2 linked regions of the Notamacropus eugenii genome follow. The protein of the gene in region 2 interacts with the protein of the main gene of each other region in a pairwise test. Links are inferred from orthologs where the notes say so. Each region holds a gene or a part of one and is shown on either strand. Other genes may lie near its edges.

What was found.
Region 1: the proteins of DHPS (region 2) and EIF5A2 interact in binary tests that used the Homo sapiens proteins (3 or more experiments, as listed by UniProt). The two-hybrid records come from large-scale screens. The link is inferred for Notamacropus eugenii from reciprocal best matches to the Homo sapiens genes DHPS and EIF5A2.

Annotation. Positions count from the first base shown.
Region 1 is NC_092877.1:353,271,659-353,275,401, forward strand, and holds the start of EIF5A2 (eukaryotic translation initiation factor 5A-2), read left to right. Parts: upstream 1-1,492; 5' UTR 1,493-1,577; coding exon 1,578-1,626; intron 1,627-1,689; exon of another isoform or gene 1,690-1,749; intron 1,750-1,968; coding exon 1,969-2,168; intron 2,169-3,224; coding exon 3,225-3,329; intron 3,330-3,743. UniProt on the Homo sapiens protein: Translation factor that promotes translation elongation and termination, particularly upon ribosome stalling at specific amino acid sequence contexts.
Region 2 is NC_092875.1:78,235,888-78,239,630, forward strand, and holds the start of DHPS (deoxyhypusine synthase), read left to right. Parts: upstream 1-1,532; 5' UTR 1,533-1,695; coding exon 1,696-1,926; intron 1,927-3,609; coding exon 3,610-3,743. UniProt on the Homo sapiens protein: Catalyzes the NAD-dependent oxidative cleavage of spermidine and the subsequent transfer of the butylamine moiety of spermidine to the epsilon-amino group of a critical lysine residue of the eIF-5A precursor protein to form the intermediate deoxyhypusine residue.

The DNA.
Region 1 (3,743 bases), on a different chromosome or scaffold from region 2:
GCCTGGGCAAAGGCAAGGAGGAAACGTCAGAGACGGAATGCCAGGTGGGGGAGGGGCGTGAAGAACATAGCTAGATATTGATGTATTAACTATGTGCCAAGCCTTTTGCTAAATGCTGGGGATATAAATACACACAAGCAGGTCAGTCAGAGTTCCCTTAGGTGAGCGCCTTCTTTATGAGATTCCCTCCAAAGTATCTTGCATGGATCTTGCACACAAAGTTACTTGTGAGATGTCGCCCCACCACACCCCATTGAACTGTTAACTCTTTGAGATCAGGGATGAGTCGTGCCTTTCTTTGTAGCCTCAACTCTTATACTGTGCCTGGCAGATACTAAGAGCTGGGTAACACATGGAGCTTATGTCCTAACGGGGAATGACAATGCCTCACTGGGAACTAGAAGGTGATGGAGAAGATACTGCTGGGGGCCATGCCACAGGAAACGATTGCTAATCATCTACAGGCAACTATGTTAAGCACCGGGGATCGATCCGAAGGAAGGCAGAATTTTACAGTTCCTGCCCTCAAGGGGTTCCCAATCTAGTGAGGAAGACAGTATGCCAACAAATAAGGGTAAAATAAACTGGTGGTCATCTACAGAAGGAACGAGCTAGCCATGGGGGATTGGAAAAAGAAGGATTTTAGTTGGAACCAGAAACGTCGAGGAGGAAGGAGGAGAAGGGGAAAGGAGGGGGTGGTGGTGGTGGAGGTAGGAGGGTCAGGCAGCGGGAGGGCTTTTGAAAACAGCCGAGAGGCTGGCATCGGGGGTCTCCAGGTACAAGGTAAGGTGTGACAGACTGAGGGAGGGGCCAGGCTGTGGCAGGCTCTCGATTGGGGCCCCTAGAGGTTACTGAGTGGCGGGGACGAGGGGGGCGCCAGGTGCGCTTTAGGAGGATCGCTCCTCTGGACTAGTGGGGAGAGTCTGGAGGCAGGGAGGCCGAGCGGGCCGAAGGCCACGGCGGGGAGTCACAGAGCGGGGGTTTCCTTAGGTGGGACAAGAGGCCGTTTTGGGAGGGAGGCCATCTCCCAGGCGGCAGGACACGCTGTCTGCAGAGAGGGAGACCAGTGCACGCCGCTGCCATGGCAACAGGCGCTCCGCCCCCTCCCGACCCCCCGCCGCGCATCGTCACGTGCCGCGAACCCTACCCCCTCCGGGGGGCGTGGCTTCTTCGAGGAATAGTTGACAGACCAGGATGGCGGAGCCAACTGAGAGGAGAGCTCATGGCTCGGGATCTCGATGGAGTCGGGTGGGTCCCGCCTAGGAAGTCACCTGAGCCTGCGGGGGCCGCCTGTGTAAGGCCCCCAGACTGGAAATGGGCTGTTTGAAGGCACGTGGGGTTGCCAAGCTTTCTTCACGTGACTGGGCGGGGCTGGAGTCTCCTCAGCCAATGGTGGCCTAAGAGGGCGGTGCCTTCGACGCGCCAAGGACCTATCAGGGAAAGGGGGAGTGATGTGCGGGCGGGGGAGTAGAAGAGAGGGCTGGCTTGGGGGGAGGGGGCGGGGAAAGTGCTTGCCGGGCCCCGCCCCGTCTGCTGAAGCCTCCTCGCATCCGCGGCCGCCGCTGCCGCCGCAGTGGATGATCAGGCTCCTTGAGCGCGGGCAGAGCCTCCGCCGCTGGCTGGAAGGTGAGCGCCGGGAGTTCGGCGGGGACTCGGGCGGGGGGCGCTGACGGAGCATCTCGGGGCAGGGGAGGGTCCCTGCGGCGCGCGCCCCCCGGGGCCGGGACCAGGACCGGAGCCTCGCGCCAGGTAGCGGCGGGGGAGTGGGGAGCGACGCGCGCTCCAGGGCCGGCGTATCGGGGGCATGCGCGTCCCCGCGAGGGGGGGAGGGGAGCGGCGCGCGCCCCGGGCGGGGGGGAGGGGGCAGGTGGGCGCAGGTGGAGCCCGGGGCGGGGAGGCCGGTCACGATTCTCACGATGGGAAAGTTTCCGAGCGGAGCCCCCCCCAGCGCCCCTCCCCCCTGCCCAGATCCCGCCGCAGGAGGACCACCGCCCCGACCCGCCATGGCCGACGAGATCGACTTCACCACCGGAGACGCCGGGGCTTCCAGCACGTATCCGATGCAGTGCTCGGCCCTGCGCAAGAACGGCTTCGTGGTGCTCAAGGGCCGGCCCTGCAAGATCGTGGAAATGTCCACTTCGAAGACGGGCAAGCACGGCCACGCCAAGGTGACCGCGCCCGCCCGCCGCCCGGCCCAGCCCGGGCCGCCCCCTCCTCCCCAGCCGGGCCTCCCGGAACCCCGCCTGCCCGCGGAGCCGGAGGGTCCGTGAGGTTGGGACCCACGTGCGGCAATGCCAGTCCTTGAGACCGGGCTGCTGCGGGCATGCCGCTGGTAGTTCGCTGGAGTTAGGAACCTGCGCTCACACCCTGGCGTGGACCATGGCGATGCTTGGTTAAGCGGCTGCTCTATTTCAGGCTGTGCTAAGCCCTGGTGGGGATACAAAGAAAGGAAAAAACAGCCCCTGCCCTCCGAGAGCAGTGTGCAGACCACTCTGCACAAACAGGAATGCTATCTGTATGAGCTCAGGCAAGCGGCTTTTACTTACCCGGGCCTCTGTTCTTCATCTCTGAAAGGAGGGTCTCCCAGTACCCTTTCGGCTCTAGATCTGGGACCCTCATTGGTCTCCCTGCCCCCCAGAAAGTCATCTTCCTGAATCCTAAGTCTGACCTTGTTACTTCCTACTTAGTGTAAGCACCAAGGCTGCCCTTCACCTTGTGAGGACCTGATGCCCACCGGCCCTTTGAGCTTTCTCATGGGTGACTCTTTGCAGCACTCCTGAGATCTACCCTAGTGGGCTTTCCTGCTGCGCTTCTCCTGATAGTCCCTGTCCCTGCCCTTTGCACACTCTGCCCCCCTGCCTCCTTGACCACTTTTATCTCCTCCTTCACCATCTTTGAAGCTTCACAGCTCAGCTCAGAGGCCTTCTTTTATCCCACATCCCTACCCCCCATCTGCCAGTGCCGGTTCTCCAAGATTAACTTGTATTTCTTTTGTATTTACTGTATCCTCTGATGGAACATAAAACTCCTTGAGTGCCAGGACAGTTGCATTTTTGTGATAGTATCTAATGTGCCCGTGTTGGGGGGTGGGGTCTCATTTTTTTCTTAAAGATAACATTTTGTTTTTGAGAGACGAAAATCTCAAACAGAATTGATATTTTGCTCTTAAAGTAATTTAGGTATTGGACTGGACAAAAATTTAACACGCTTACTTTATGCATTAGGTTCACTTGGTTGGAATTGATATTTTTACGGGCAAAAAGTACGAAGATATTTGCCCTTCCACTCACAACATGGATGTTCCAAATATCAAGAGAAATGATTATCAAGTAAGTAATTTCCTCTCAATAGATTTTTTCCCTTTATTACACACATGGTTTGTTACAAGTTGTATAAGCCAGAGTGCTTTTATTCATCTCTTGCTTCTAAATAAGAAGAAGGAAATATAAGGAAAATATTCATTGTAGATACTGGAAGGAGAGAGAGTGATTTTCATATTTCTGCAGTAGAGTTAATGGTGACATTTTTAAAATTACTTTCACTTTGTAAAAATGTGAATTGTCATTTTAAAACATTAGTAAGGTACAGAACAAGTGATGATGATTGCTCTTGAAATGGTTTGTTGAAGTGTGTGGGTCCAAAGTTCCATAAAGTTAATGAAACCACTACTTTGTGCTTGCTACAAAACCTCCAGATTTCATAGGACAAGGTACCTCCACTGCACTTGAGAAGCTTTATTTTTG
Region 2 (3,743 bases):
AAGAACTTTTCTATTCCTAGTATCCAAGTTGACGTTCACCCTCAAAGCCACCTTGTAGTCCTTAATTCCTGTCTTAGTCCACATAGCCCATCAATGATTGTCTTCTTTCTACTTCTCACAACAATCCCTTTATCTCCATTCACCCTTGCAGGGGCTTTTCTACCTCTCACCCAGACTTTTATCAATAGCTTAACTGGCCTCCCTGCCTTACATCTGTCTTCTACATAACTGCCAAAGTGATTTTCTCAGAGCACAAGTCAAACCATGCCATTCTTTTTTCAATAAATTCCAGTGGCTCCCTGTTGGACCACATGTCCAAAGATTATGTTTTTTAAATGTATATTTTTGTATAAGTTTTATTATGCATATGTTATCACAGTGGTAGGGGTATAGGGACTGGTTTCCATTGTCATGGGGAATTTTGGGGTAAGGAAATTCCTTCCAGTGCAGGCTGACATGTTGGCAATTTGTAGCCTTATAGTGTCCTAAACTAGGGCACTCCAATATTATGTGACCTACCTATTAGGTAGGTAGACTCATAGCTGCCATGAGTCAGGACTTGAATGACTCTTATCTTCTATACCATTGTTTCAGTGGTGTACAACTGTTTGTGCTCCAATTTGGGATTTTCTTGGCAAAGCTACTGGAGTGGTTTTCCATTTCCTTCTCCAGCTCATTTTACAGATGAGGAAACTGAGGCAAACAGGGTTAAGTGACTTGCCCAGGGTTCCACAGCTAGTTGGTGTCTGAGGCTGGATTTGAACTCGTCTTCCTGACTCCAGGCCTGGTACTCTATCCACTGTGCCACCTAGCTGCCCTTACACATTATGCATCTCCATATAAATAAATTTATATAGAGAACAGGTTGGGACTATGTACTTAAACATTTTTAACTGGCAAGCTGCATGATATCAAAAGGTTTGGAGATCATTGGTCTAGTCCATGTGTCCAAACATTGTTGACTGATGAGGTGTGTGATATAACCAAGTTTTGGAGACCGCTGATGTAGTGTCTAAGGGGAAAAGATCGGAGTCTGGAGGCAGGGGCCAGGCACCTGGACAGGTCCACTAAGCTCTCTCGGCCCCAGTTCCTTCCTAGGGGCCTTCCCTCCTTTTTCTTTACTGCATGTTATTCCAGGTGGCACACCGGATAGCGCAGCAGACCCAGGATCAGGAGCGAGCCTGCGCGGCCGGGCTGCACTTCCCACCCGCCCGCTGTCCTAGCTCCCGCTTTGCGGACTGGTCTGTGAAATGGCCACACTGGCCTACAAGGCGGATCGCCCACGTGACGTCCGCCTTCCGGGCCAGGATTTCGCAGAGAGGGGCTGAGTCTTGTCCAAGTTTGTTCTGCTCCAGAGCTGTGAGGAGGCACGTCGTGCATCTTCTGGGCACGGTGCAGAGAGGCAAAGGGGCGTCCGCCTGCGGCCTGGGACCGGAGACTCTGCGGCCGACCGACAGGGGGCGGCAGAGCGCTGGCCAAACTCGCGAGCCTGGCGGCCTCCGTAGAAGAAAGGAGACAGGGGGAAAAAGGGCAGCTGGGCCCCCGTCGCCACGTGACCGGCAACACTTCCGGTCCTTCCCCGTCTCTCTTCCCCCGCCTCACTTCCTCGGCTAGCCGGGATCGCGCGGAGCCCCCGGTGAGCCGAGGACGGGCCGGGTGGCCTGACCCTGACTTCCAGCCTCCCCCAGAGGGCGCATGGAGGGCTCCCCGGAGGAGGAGGGAGGGGACAGGCCCGGGCCGCGACCGCCCCCGGGAGCTGTGGACGCCGTCCTCAGGCACAGCTCGACGCTGCCCGCGGAGGCCGTCCAGGTACGGGGCTACGACTTCAACCGCGGCCTGGACTATGGCGCTCTCCTACGAGCCTTCGCCACCACCGGCTTCCAGGCCACCAGCTTCGGCCGCGCCGTGCAGCAGGTCAACGCCATGGTGAGGGGGCGGGGCTGGGGAGGTGGGGCAGGTCGGAGCCCTGCTAAGGGAGGCGGGGCTAGGGCAGAAGAGGAGGTCAAAGCGGGTGGGAGCGGGGCTGGGGAGAGCAGGTCCCAGGCATGGGGCGGGGGAGGAGGCGGGGTTGGGGAGAGCTGGTCCCAGGCTTGGGGAGGGGGAGGAGGCGGGGATGGGGAGAGCTGGTCCCAGGCTTGGGGAGGGGGAGGAGGCGGGGATGGGGAGAGCAGGTCCCAGGCTTGGGGAGGGGGAGGAGGCGGGGCTGCGGAGAGCTGGTCCCAGGCTTGGGGAGGGGAGGAGGCGGGGCTGGGGAGAGCTGGTCCCAGGCTTGGGGAGGGGAGGAGGCGGGGCTGGGGAGAGCAGGTCCCAGGCATGGGGAGGGGAGGAGGCGGGGCTGGGGAGAGCTGGTCCCAGGCTTGGGGAGGGGGAGGAGGCGGGGATGGGGAGAGCAGGTCCCAGGCTTGGGGAGGGGGAGGAGGCGGGGCTGGGGAGAGCAGGTCCCAGGCTTGGGGAGGGGGAGGAGGCGGGGCTGGGGAGAGCTGGTCCCAGGCTTGGGGAGGGGGAGGAGGCGGGGCTGGGGAGAGCAGGTCTCAGGCTTGGGGAGGAGAGGAGGCGGGGCTGGGGAGAGCTGGTCCCAGGCATGGGGAGGGGAGGAGGCGGGGCTGGGGAGAGCAGGTCTCAGGCTTGGGGAGGGGAGGAGGCGGGGCTGGGGAGAGCAGGTCCCAGGCATGGGGCGGGGGAGGAGGAGGGGCTGGGGAGAGCTGGTCCCAGGCTTGGGGAGGGGGAGGAGGCGGGGCTGGGGAGAGCTGGTCCCAGGCTTGGGGAGGGGGAGGAGGCGGGGCTGGGGAGAGCTGGTCCCAGGCTTGGGGAGGGGAGGAGGCGGGGCTGGGGAGAGCAGGTCCCAGGCATGGGGAGGGGGAGGAGGCGGGGCTGGGGAGAGCAGGTCTCAGGCTTGGGGAGGGGAGGAGGCGGGGCTGGGGAGAGCAGGTCTCAGGCTTGGGGAGGGGAGGAGGCGGGGCTGGGGAGAGCAGGTCTCAGGCTTGGGGAGGGGAGGAGGCGGGGCTGGGGCAGACGAGTAGGTCAAGGTGGGGGCCCTAGAAAGAGAGGAGGATAAGGCAGGACGGGTCAATGCCAAGGGGTTTGGGAGAGGAGTGAGTGAGGGAAGAGCGATAAGGGAGGGCCGGCGCTGGGGGAGCCAGCCTCAGACTTTGATGTCTGTGGGTCCGAGGTGAGGACCTGGGAAGAGAGCACGACCCAACCCAGGGGTAAAGGGGCATTACAGATTTAGGGAGATTGCTGCCAGGGCGAGGCCTAAGGGGGCAGCGGGACGCTGAGGAGACCGTCAAAGCACGAGAGAAGCTGTCGGCAGCAAGGGCCCTGCGTCAGTGCCACCTTGGGTGGTGAACAAGTATTGAGATGCTAAAAAAAAAGATGCTGTAGTGTGTCACTGTGTGCACCTCTGCCCAGTTGGAATCTAAGGGATCCAGTCAGGAAACAAATTCAAGTTCCCCTTCGTAACCTTAGGCTGGTCTTTTATCTTCACTAGGCTTCAGTTTCTGAGTCTCTTGAACGATTCAGGAACTATAATCTTTGAGTGGGCCCTGTGTCCCAGCAAGCCCAGGTTTTAGGTTTGGAGAGAGATCACTGTCACTCCACCTTCTCTCCCAGATTGAGAAGAAGCTGGAACCTCTTGGGGGGGAGGAGGAAGACCACACAGATCTGAACCCAAGCCGTCGGTCAGTGAGTGGCTGCACCATCTTCTTGGGCTACACGTCAAATCTCATCAGCTCTGGTGTCCGAGA